3 linked regions of the Saccharomyces cerevisiae S288C genome follow. The main gene of each other region encodes a partner of the protein of the gene in region 3 in a complex. Each region holds a gene or a part of one and is shown on either strand. Other genes may lie near its edges. A codon is read from its position in the direction of its gene.

Region 1 (3,024 bases), on a different chromosome or scaffold from region 3:
TCAAACTTATATGAAGCAATGGGGTGGTCCGTTACACGTATGAACTACCTAGGAGACTGGGGCAGACAGTTTGGTTTGTTAGCAGTCGGTTTTAAGAGATACGGCGATGAAAAGACGTTACAAAAGCAGCCAATTCAGCATTTATTCGACGTCTACGTTAAAATCAACATGGACCTTGCCAAGGAAGAGATAAACGGAAACTCTAAGTGTGGGATTAGCGGTGAGGCCCGTAGTTTTTTCAAAAACTTAGAAAATGGGGATGAGAATGCCATTAAGATATGGAATAGGTTTCGCTCGTTATCCATCCACCACTATATCCAAACTTATTCACGTTTGAACATTAATTTTGATATATTCTCCGGTGAATCACAAGTGTCTAAAGAATCTATGAATGAAGCCTTAGATATATTTCGCAAAAACAATCTTGTTAAAGAAATAGACGGTGCCCTTGTCATCGATTTAACCCAATGGTCGAAAAGATTGGGCAGAGTTGTTGTACAAAAATCAGACGGAACAACTTTGTACTTGACAAGAGATGTAGGGGCAGCCATAGAGCGTAAAAAGAATCTACATTTTGATAAAATGGTGTACGTGATTTCCTCACAGCAAGATTTATACATGTCCCAGTTTTTTATGATATTAAAAAAAATGAATTTTGAATGGGCAAAAGACTTGCAGCATATAAATTTTGGTATGGTGCAGGGCATGTCGACCAGAAAAGGAAATGTGGTATTCTTAGATACCATACTAGACGAGGCAAGGGATAAAGCTCTGCAAATTATGGAAAATAACAAAATGAAAATATCTCAGGTAGATAATCCACAGCGTGTTGCAGATTTAATTGGCGTATCTGCTATCATTATTCAAGATATGAAATCAAAGCGTATCAATAACTATGAATTCAACTGGAACAGAATGTTGTCTTTCGAAGGTGACACAGGGCCCTATTTACAATACACACATTCCAGACTTAGATCTTTAGAAAGGACCTCCAGCGACTTTACGACGGACATGCTAATACACGCAGATTTTTCAAATTTAAATGAACCACAACTAGTTGAGCTTGTGAGGTTGCTAGCGCAGTATCCAGATGTCCTTAGACGAGCATTCGAAACTCAAGAGCCGGCCACGATTGTAACATATTTATTCAAAGTTTGCCATCAGGTCTCCTCGTGCTATAAAAAAATATGGGTTTCCGGAAAACCTGCAGATATTGCCATACCGCGACTCGCCGTATATTCAGCAAGTAGACAAGTGTTACACAATGCAATGTCGCTTTTGGGACTAGTCCCGGTTGATAGAATGTAATTATATGAATAAGCTAGCAAATGCTAGATTAATTTAGATTAAGTTTAACCAATTTATAAACATGTAAATAGAAGAAAGTTTATTGTTACGTACAACGTGATATTTTCCGATTTTCCTTTAATTGATTCTTGAATAACCCACCTACCGTTAGTTGAAATAGAAACAAAGAAGAAGGATATGCAAGTTTATATTGGACAACATAACCAATAGAAGATGGATCCAAGTTTAGTTTTAGAGCAAACGATACAAGATGTGTCCAACCTCCCATCAGAATTTCGTTACCTCTTAGAGGAGATCGGTTCAAATGATTTGAAGCTCATCGAAGAAAAAAAGAAATACGAGCAAAAAGAATCACAAATACACAAATTTATAAGACAGCAAGGCTCAATACCGAAACATCCACAGGAAGATGGGCTTGACAAAGAAATAAAAGAATCACTTTTGAAATGTCAGTCTTTGCAAAGAGAAAAATGCGTTCTGGCGAACACTGCCTTGTTTCTAATTGCTAGACACTTGAATAAGTTGGAAAAAAACATCGCTTTATTGGAGGAAGATGGTGTTCTAGCCCCCGTGGAAGAAGATGGAGACATGGATAGCGCTGCTGAAGCCTCTAGAGAAAGTTCAGTTGTGAGTAACAGTAGCGTGAAAAAGAGAAGAGCTGCATCAAGCTCAGGATCCGTTCCACCCACTTTGAAAAAGAAAAAAACTAGTCGAACATCTAAACTGCAAAATGAAATTGACGTTTCTTCAAGAGAAAAGTCTGTTACTCCAGTGAGCCCAAGCATTGAAAAGAAGATTGCAAGAACAAAAGAATTCAAAAACAGTAGAAATGGTAAAGGCCAAAACGGTTCCCCTGAAAACGAGGAAGAGGACAAAACTTTATACTGCTTCTGTCAAAGAGTTTCGTTTGGAGAAATGGTTGCATGTGATGGACCCAACTGTAAATATGAATGGTTTCATTATGATTGTGTAAATTTAAAAGAACCTCCGAAAGGAACATGGTACTGTCCCGAATGTAAAATTGAGATGGAAAAAAACAAACTGAAAAGAAAACGTAACTGAACAAAAATACCTTTTTGAGACTGAATGACCTCATTTACACTAATAATATTCCATAAGCCAGAAACGGTGATTGCTATTCTGACAATGTGCTTTTCGAAAAGGAGAAGTAATTTCGAGACATCAGCTAGCAAGGACATATACGATTGACATTTTTGAATGTACTTTCAAATACTTGTGAATCAAACTAAGATATGATTCCTGCATATTCAGGTATATACTATATATTTTAATTTCATTAGCATATGTGTCATACGGTTTTTAAAACTTATGAGCAGGAAAAAGGTGTCACGTGATCAGATGGTCTTTTTTTCAAACTTTGACGTCGGAATTTTTTGTAGTGAAAAATTTTTCGAGATGAGGAAAGGAAGAAAAAATTAATTTGTTAGCCTTATAACGTGAGCACCTTTTCGATAGAGTATCTGATTGCTCTCTTCTACCAAAAGATCACCTGAGGATAATTTTTAACCAAAAGAAAATAATGAGTTTCAGAGGAGGTAATAGAGGTGGCCGTGGCGGCTTCCGTGGCGGCTTTCGTGGTGGACGTACAGGCAGTGCTAGATCATTTCAACAAGGACCACCAGACACTGTTCTAGAAATGGGAGCTTTTCTACATCCATGTGAGGGTGATATTGTTTGCCGTTCTATCAACACTAA
Region 2 (2,594 bases), on a different chromosome or scaffold from region 3:
ACTAGGCAATCCTTTTTGATACAAATTGGAATATCTGGTTGAACAGTGATAGATGCAATTTTACCATTTTCGTCTACTAGCCTGAAACGGGAAGTCGCAATATCCTTGCTTAAGTTCTCGATATATGTCCTTTCTTTAGTTACGACATTACTCTCCGTCTTGGCCGCTTGTGGGCTCAAAAGAGAAATTGATCTCTGCCAAACTCGAGTATTCACCCTTGGGCTTATCATGATGGGTGGATATCCTTTTCTGTGCTTCTGTTTTGTTTATCTGTATCCGTTTATTCGCCAGCCAATAAAATGACTGGGAGCACGGGACCTTTGAAATTTTGCCCTTGTTAGTAAATCGTTATAAAAATACTTATATAGATATTTTATAGAAAATGAAAAATAAAAGAAATAGCCAATATGTAGGTATATCGAACTTAAAGGTCACCTGTCGAAATCATTTCCTTCTTCTCTCTTTTTCTTTTCAATCAGATGTTTTAGAGCGGTCAAGCAACGTAAATACCAACGTGTGCTATCGCATTAGTCGTTTTGTGATTGGCCATGCTGCTGCTTCACGTACGTAGCACTACTTAATGAAAAAATACGATCATTGTTATTGAATGCAGAATCTGCATGGCTGTGGTGTGACTTGGAGAAGGTATCAAACCCTTTTATGATGTTACCAGAATAGTGTGATTTTGACCCATGGGCTCCCCCATGACCTGAATGGTTGTTATTACTATTGTGTGAGAAATACTCGGTCTCTTTATCATATATCTCTTGTTGTAAGTTGTCAAAGGTATCTTCTTGCTCTCTTCTATCTTGGAGGGACTTTTTTAGTTCCGCTTTCAATGCTTCATAACTTTTCAGCTCATCAGTCATTTTCTTCTAGGCGTAGGTTGGTAACAAACGGAAAGATGATGGAAAATGGCTGTTCTCTAAAGATGTTTATCTTACGTATATTCTTTGCTTTCGTTGTGGCTTTACACACCTTTAATCATTAATTTAATGGCATAGTCGGCAAGTTGTTGAAGGACCTGGGTTAATCGCCTACATGTGAGGTTTTTTTAAAAATATCAATTACATTTAAAAAAGGAAAGCAGTAGTACCAAAAATCGGGCAAAAAAAATTTACCTAAATAAAGGAATGCATAAATGAAGCCGTTTAATCTTTGTATTTAATGAGAATATTACATATGAAGGTCTCTTGAGAAAGCATCAATAGTGGACATTAGCTACCTTTTAAATAAATGAACGGGTATGTCACCCATGGGTTCAAACTCTTCATCATCCTCGTCTTCACTGCGTACTTCATCGTATTCGTAACCCAAATTTTCTTTTATGTAATAGTGATCTTTCTTACTTTTCCTCTTTTCCAAAAGGTCATCGAATTCGTCCTCTTCCATATTCATTTGATTGAATTTGTTAAGTATTCTTTGTAAGAATGGTGTGTTCTCCCCAGCAGTTGCCGTGGTATTAGCATTCTTCATAGTATTCCTTGGGGGTAGCAAGGGAGGACCCGATGTTGGAGTTGATTCTGAACTACGGCTTGGAGCAATATTTTGCATACGTTGTGACCGATTAGGCGGAGGGTTCGGTTTACGATTGGGTAGAGTGTTATTTATGTTGCTATTAACATTATTATTGGGCTTACTAAAAAAATCGTTTATACTCTTTTTTCCCTTGAGCATATTTGGTGAATTATTTACGTCCACAAATGTCTGTTGAATTCTTTTGGTAAAAGTAGAGAGGTATTCACTTGGGTTCTGGTTACCTAATTTCTGTTGTCCATTTCGGGGCAGTGTATCTTTGAACTGTAACTCTAATTGTTTTAATTCTTTTTGGGCGACCTCTAATTTGAAACTAAGTTCATTGATTTCTCTGTGTTTTGCAGCTAATTTATATATTAAATCTTGGTCTGTTGAAATCGGACTTGCGTGGTCGCTCACGGGTGACTGATTTGTCGTAGATCTTTGCGGACTTGATATAGGTATAGCAAGTCTTTTGGGCTTTAAAGGTGTCGTAACCCTTGGTGATTTTGATTCAGGCTGCACTTCATGTTGTTTTTGATGCGGCTGTTGCTGCTGTCCTTGGGAGTGTTTATCGACAATCGACAGCTTATGTAATTCAATTGGTTGACTAATTACACGCTGGTCTTCTGACATTACTTTAGGGCGTATGTATGGATGTATTTTGTATTGCTTTTGGCTAGTTAGTAGTATTCCTCAATCGTATTGTTTTTGATTTTGAAAAAGCTAACGATAAAGGTCAGGAAAAAAAAAGAAAATTGTATGTAAAGGAATGTCTGGAGAGAGTTACACAGGAACAGAAAGGTCCAGCAACGGTTTCTACAACCAATCATGGATGTTGATATAGGATGTTATTTTGAAGAGAAACGCTATGACGACAAACTGTTAGACTTCATCAGATATGACGTTAAAACACCTAAAAAGACTAAATATATACTACAAAGGCCTACGGCGACAGATGAAGAGAGTGTACGATTACAAAGGTTTTACCAATTAGGAGTAGATCTAAAATTGAAGTATTCCAAGCGGAGGTCATTGAAGAAGCAAGGGCGGATCAAGAATGCTACTGAGGAATTGCT
Region 3 (4,764 bases):
TCATACATGGGCACCGCAAAGGATTGCATCTGCCTCTTGTTCTCTTCTTTCAAGTTTTCGACTTCGTGAATTTCTAGAGAAGATGCAAACCCGACTTGTTTCTTTTTCTGCTTTTTGTCTGAATTCTCAGCAAAAGAAGACTTTTTCAAAATAGGTTTTAATGATTTATTAACGTCACCTTCTTCCCTCTCATGATCTTGGGATTGCTTTTGTGCGCGTAGGCGTTGAATTTGTTGTAAAAATGAGGACTGCGCTTCAAAGCCAGGTATAATAGAATGATTTAGATACTCTTCTTCATCTTCGTCCTCGTCATCCTCTTCATAGTTATCATTGACTTTGAAATTGGAGTTTTCGAACGCATCATAATCATAATTTATTTCATCAGTTTCAATATAGCCGTCCTCCAATTCATCTTGTTGGTCCATCTGTTGGACCAAGTCGGCAAATGTATACACGTTTTCTGTATCTACTTTAGATGGCTGCACTTTTTTCTTTACTTCATCGTTCCTTTTCAATAACTTTCCTTTCAAGTTTTCTTCGAATGACTTTGATTTCTTCTCCTTTGCTAATCCTTTCTCCTTTGGACCGACTGCAGGTGTCTGTTCTTTTTTGGAATTCGATTGTGATGGTTGCTTTGTTGTAGGGGTAACGGAACTACTTATGACATTTCCCTCGTCATCTAGTTCTTCTCTAATCTCCATAGAGGGCAGAAAATCTTCGTCGTTGTTCGCTTCGTCTTCTTCAATTCCATTTCCGTCCTCCATGTGATTCAAGTTGTCTAAGGTCTTTTTAGCCTCTTCGATCTTCAGGTTAAATTGCTCAATGGCGTCCTCCATTAGTTTTAATTTATCATCAACAAACGTGATGGCCTCCTCTTTGGTCTTTTCAACGTAATACTCATAGCCTAGACTTAGATATATCTTACTCGTAGAAATTATGATATCACCAAACACCATCCCTTGGCCTTCGCCTTCTTCTTCGCCATCATCATTGTCATTGATAAATCTAACCAGTCGGCTTCTGATATCTATATAGTGCTCTCTTTGTTCCGAAAGAAAGTTTCTCTTATCTTGCAGATTTTTCAACGTACTTTCTACGCTGGCCGCTAACAAATCCATGGCTATTACAGTCTGAGGATACCTGTTTACTATAAAATTCTACAGAATATTCATACAACACTCTCTGTTAAAACCTTTAAGAGCAGCTCATCGCCTATCCTCCAAGGATAAATTTCAAAACACCCAAACATTAGGGTTACCCGTATATCGCTACTTCTTCCCATACTCGCTCACCATAGTTAGCACCCCATACCGCAGGAGTAAGCGAGAAACAAAGGGATAGAGGAAAAAAATTTTCTCCGTCGGCCGCGGGTGGCAAAAGCACGATCCGACCACAAAATTGTACTATTACATATCACATGGTATAGCATACAAGCAATACCTGTGAGAGGTTACTACACAAAAGCAAAAAAGTTTGCAAAAATCAGCCAAAACTGTGCTCGTATTCTGGTGGTCATTAGACACTCGCAATATTATTACACCACATCGCGTTCCTCTGAGCTGCTATAATAAAATAAACGCTATCTATTTTTGACTCCTCTTTTTGCCACCCTCGCCTTCCTTTTGTCCATATTCTCACATTGTACGGCAACTGCGGACTTCAGGTCAACATAAATAAAAATTGCACACGATAGGGTAACATTATAGTCACGTGCTTATAAAAACATTGTAATAACATTAGCAAATAACGATAATAACGATGCCGACACCTTCAAACGCTATAGAGATCAATGACGGTTCGCATAAATCTGGTAGAAGCACTAGGCGGTCTGGATCTAGGAGTGCGCACGATGACGGTCTAGATTCATTCTCAAAAGGCGATTCAGGTGCTGGAGCCAGTGCTGGTAGCAGTAATAGTCGATTTAGACATCGAAAAATATCTGTGAAGCAACATCTTAAGATATATCTGCCTAACGATCTGAAACACCTGGATAAAGATGAATTGCAACAGAGAGAGGTGGTTGAGATCGAAACTGGTGTAGAAAAAAATGAAGAAAAGGAGGTCCATTTGCATCGAATATTACAAATGGGTTCTGGTCATACAAAGCACAAAGACTATATTCCGACCCCGGATGCTTCTATGACTTGGAATGAATATGATAAGTTTTATACGGGCAGTTTCCAGGAGACCACCAGCTACATCAAATTTTCTGCCACTGTGGAGGATTGCTGTGGTACCAACTACAATATGGATGAAAGAGATGAGACCTTTTTAAATGAACAAGTCAACAAAGGTTCATCAGACATTTTAACTGAAGACGAATTTGAAATACTTTGTTCCAGTTTTGAACATGCTATTCACGAGCGTCAACCATTCTTGAGTATGGATCCGGAAAGTATACTTTCTTTTGAAGAATTGAAGCCCACATTAATAAAATCAGATATGGCTGATTTCAATCTAAGAAACCAGCTGAATCATGAAATAAATTCTCATAAAACACATTTTATCACACAATTCGACCCCGTATCTCAAATGAATACGAGACCTTTAATTCAGCTGATAGAGAAGTTCGGCTCTAAAATTTATGATTATTGGAGAGAAAGAAAAATTGAAGTTAACGGGTACGAAATTTTTCCGCAGCTGAAATTTGAAAGGCCGGGTGAAAAAGAAGAGATTGATCCCTACGTCTGTTTCAGAAGAAGAGAAGTGAGACATCCGCGGAAAACAAGACGTATAGATATCTTAAACAGTCAGCGTTTAAGGGCGTTGCATCAAGAATTGAAAAACGCGAAGGACTTGGCCCTGCTTGTTGCTAAACGTGAGAACGTTTCCCTAAATTGGATTAATGATGAATTAAAAATATTCGATCAAAGGGTAAAAATTAAGAATTTGAAAAGATCTTTGAACATTAGTGGAGAAGACGATGACTTGATTAACCACAAGAGAAAACGCCCCACGATTGTTACGGTCGAACAAAGGGAAGCTGAACTAAGGAAAGCTGAACTTAAGAGAGCAGCTGCTGCAGCAGCGGCAGCGAAGGCAAAGAACAATAAAAGGAATAACCAACTTGAAGACAAATCTTCTAGGCTCACCAAGCAGCAACAGCAGCAACTGTTACAGCAACAACAACAACAACAGCAAAATGCCCTTAAGACTGAAAACGGAAAGCAACTCGCGAATGCATCCTCTTCTTCAACATCACAGCCAATTACGTCTCATGTTTATGTCAAACTACCATCTTCCAAAATTCCTGACATTGTATTGGAAGACGTGGATGCTCTATTGAACAGCAAAGAAAAAAATGCAAGAAAGTTCGTTCAGGAAAAGATGGAGAAACGGAAAATTGAAGACGCAGATGTCTTTTTCAACTTAACGGACGATCCCTTTAATCCTGTATTTGACATGTCGTTGCCTAAAAATTTTTCGACTAGTAATGTTCCCTTTGCATCTATCGCGTCATCCAAGTTTCAGATAGATAGATCTTTTTATTCTTCACATTTACCAGAATACTTGAAGGGGATATCTGATGACATCAGAATATATGATTCAAATGGCCGTTCGAGAAACAAAGATAATTACAACTTGGATACCAAAAGAATCAAAAAAACTGAACTGTACGACCCATTCCAAGAAAATTTGGAAATTCATTCGAGAGAGTATCCAATAAAATTCAGGAAGAGAGTTGGTAGATCTAATATTAAGTATGTTGATCGTATGCCAAATTTTACAACATCGTCGACCAAGTCTGCATGTTCTTTAATGGATTTTGTAGATTTCGATTCAATCGAAAAAGAACAATATTCAAGAGAAGGTAGTAACGATACTGACTCGATTAATGTTTACGATTCCAAATACGACGAATTTGTCAGACTTTACGACAAGTGGAAGTATGATTCTCCACAAAATGAATATGGGATCAAGTTTTCAGATGAACCGGCAAGACTTAACCAGATTTCAAATGATACTCAGGTGATTAGATTCGGAACAATGTTGGGTACGAAGTCCTACGAACAATTAAGGGAAGCCACCATAAAGTATCGTAGGGACTATATCACCAGACTGAAACAAAAGCATATACAACATTTACAACAGCAACAACAACAGCAGCAGCAGCAACAGCAGCAAGCACAACAACAAAAGCAGAAATCACAGAACAATAATTCAAATTCTTCGAACTCCCTAAAAAAATTAAATGATTCGTTAATCAATTCAGAAGCGAAACAGAACTCTTCTATAACCCAGAAAAATTCATCATGAGCAGCACAACTTTGTACCTCTCGAACATCTTTCTACGCATTGGCATTTAACAAACCTGACATTCAAAGTTTACTACGAAAGTCGAGGCAACATTACTGAAGATTCAAATCACCGAAATGAACACCGATAACGCAATAATAATGAAAAAAAACAAAAAACAAAAAAAGATAACTACAATAAATTTCAAAAGAAAAATAGCAAGTATCATCCGGCTGTAATATTATCACCTTCACAAGACTACATATTTTTAACGTTTTTTTTAATTTCCATTTCACACGGTTGTGACCTTTTGATTTTTCGCATGATTTCATCCCAAATGCTTGATGTATTTAAGTTAGATTCATACTCTTATATAGACAATTGCATAACTCACTAGGTACCCTCAAATAAATGCATTTCTTCTTATTATCCATTTTTTTTTCCTGTATGGCGCGAATTTTGAAAAAGGTCTAAATATACCAACCAAGTCATAACAAGAAAAAGTAAAAATGAGTCTCAACACATTCC

What was found.
Region 1: the proteins of EPL1 (region 3) and YNG2 are in contact, whole or in part, in a crystal structure (PDB 5J9Q), measured with the Saccharomyces cerevisiae proteins. Residues at the interface, in NP_116629.1 of Saccharomyces cerevisiae: Thr144 (codon at 2,188), Thr145 (codon at 2,191), Ser146 (codon at 2,194), Tyr147 (codon at 2,197), Ile148 (codon at 2,200), Lys149 (codon at 2,203), Phe150 (codon at 2,206), Ser151 (codon at 2,209), Ala152 (codon at 2,212), Asp156 (codon at 2,224), Asp231 (codon at 2,449), Leu234 (codon at 2,458), Gln237 (codon at 2,467), Leu238 (codon at 2,470), Ile242 (codon at 2,482), Phe249 (codon at 2,503), Ile250 (codon at 2,506), Thr251 (codon at 2,509), Gln252 (codon at 2,512), Phe253 (codon at 2,515), Arg318 (codon at 2,710), Arg321 (codon at 2,719), Ile326 (codon at 2,734), Asp327 (codon at 2,737), Ile328 (codon at 2,740), Asn330 (codon at 2,746), Ser331 (codon at 2,749), Arg333 (codon at 2,755), Leu334 (codon at 2,758), Arg335 (codon at 2,761); in NP_011958.1 of Saccharomyces cerevisiae: Asp2 (codon at 1,525), Pro3 (codon at 1,528), Ser4 (codon at 1,531), Leu5 (codon at 1,534), Val6 (codon at 1,537), Leu7 (codon at 1,540), Glu8 (codon at 1,543), Thr10 (codon at 1,549), Ile11 (codon at 1,552), Val14 (codon at 1,561), Asn16 (codon at 1,567), Ser19 (codon at 1,576), Glu20 (codon at 1,579), Phe21 (codon at 1,582), Tyr23 (codon at 1,588), Leu24 (codon at 1,591), Leu25 (codon at 1,594), Glu26 (codon at 1,597), Glu27 (codon at 1,600), Ile28 (codon at 1,603), Lys39 (codon at 1,636), Tyr42 (codon at 1,645), Glu46 (codon at 1,657), His50 (codon at 1,669), Ile53 (codon at 1,678), Arg54 (codon at 1,681), Gly57 (codon at 1,690), Ser58 (codon at 1,693), Ile59 (codon at 1,696), Pro60 (codon at 1,699).
Region 2: the proteins of EPL1 (region 3) and EAF6 are in contact, whole or in part, in a crystal structure (PDB 5J9U), measured with the Saccharomyces cerevisiae proteins. Residues at the interface, in NP_116629.1 of Saccharomyces cerevisiae: Arg333 (codon at 2,755), Ala336 (codon at 2,764), Leu337 (codon at 2,767), Glu340 (codon at 2,776), Leu341 (codon at 2,779), Asn343 (codon at 2,785), Ala344 (codon at 2,788), Asp346 (codon at 2,794), Leu347 (codon at 2,797), Ala348 (codon at 2,800), Leu350 (codon at 2,806), Val351 (codon at 2,809), Lys353 (codon at 2,815), Arg354 (codon at 2,818), Val357 (codon at 2,827), Ser358 (codon at 2,830), Asn360 (codon at 2,836), Trp361 (codon at 2,839), Asp364 (codon at 2,848), Glu365 (codon at 2,851), Lys367 (codon at 2,857), Ile368 (codon at 2,860), Gln371 (codon at 2,869), Arg372 (codon at 2,872), Lys374 (codon at 2,878), Ile375 (codon at 2,881), Leu378 (codon at 2,890), Lys379 (codon at 2,893), Ser381 (codon at 2,899), Leu382 (codon at 2,902); in NP_012615.3 of Saccharomyces cerevisiae: Glu4 (codon at 860), Leu5 (codon at 857), Ser7 (codon at 851), Tyr8 (codon at 848), Leu11 (codon at 839), Lys12 (codon at 836), Glu14 (codon at 830), Leu15 (codon at 827), Lys16 (codon at 824), Ser18 (codon at 818), Leu19 (codon at 815), Asp21 (codon at 809), Arg22 (codon at 806), Arg23 (codon at 803), Gln25 (codon at 797), Glu26 (codon at 794), Thr28 (codon at 788), Phe29 (codon at 785), Asp30 (codon at 782), Leu32 (codon at 776), Gln33 (codon at 773), Glu35 (codon at 767), Ile36 (codon at 764), Lys39 (codon at 755), Glu40 (codon at 752), Tyr43 (codon at 743), Phe44 (codon at 740), Tyr65 (codon at 677), Gly67 (codon at 671), Asn68 (codon at 668).

The regions. Positions count from the first base shown.
Region 1 is NC_001140.6:283,123-286,146, reverse strand, and holds YNG2 (histone acetyltransferase YNG2), read left to right. Parts: upstream 1-1,521; coding exon 1,522-2,370; downstream 2,371-3,024. Other genes in the region: arginine--tRNA ligase MSR1, read left to right, coding at 1-1,308; H/ACA snoRNP pseudouridylase subunit GAR1, read left to right, coding at 2,849-3,024. UniProt on the Saccharomyces cerevisiae protein: Component of the NuA4 histone acetyltransferase complex which is involved in transcriptional activation of selected genes principally by acetylation of nucleosomal histone H4 and H2A. The NuA4 complex is also involved in DNA repair.
Region 2 is NC_001142.9:581,387-583,980, forward strand, and holds EAF6 (Eaf6p), read right to left. Parts: upstream 870-2,594; coding exon 528-869; downstream 1-527. Other genes in the region: AIM24 (Aim24p), read right to left, coding at 1-230; ACF4 (Acf4p), read right to left, coding at 1,222-2,151; YJR084W (uncharacterized protein), read left to right, coding at 2,347-2,594. UniProt on the Saccharomyces cerevisiae protein: Component of the NuA4 histone acetyltransferase complex which is involved in transcriptional activation of selected genes principally by acetylation of nucleosomal histone H4 and H2A. The NuA4 complex is also involved in DNA repair.
Region 3 is NC_001138.5:87,340-92,103, reverse strand, and holds EPL1 (Epl1p), read left to right. Parts: upstream 1-1,758; coding exon 1,759-4,257; downstream 4,258-4,764. Other genes in the region: BUD27 (prefoldin-like protein), read right to left, coding at 1-1,118.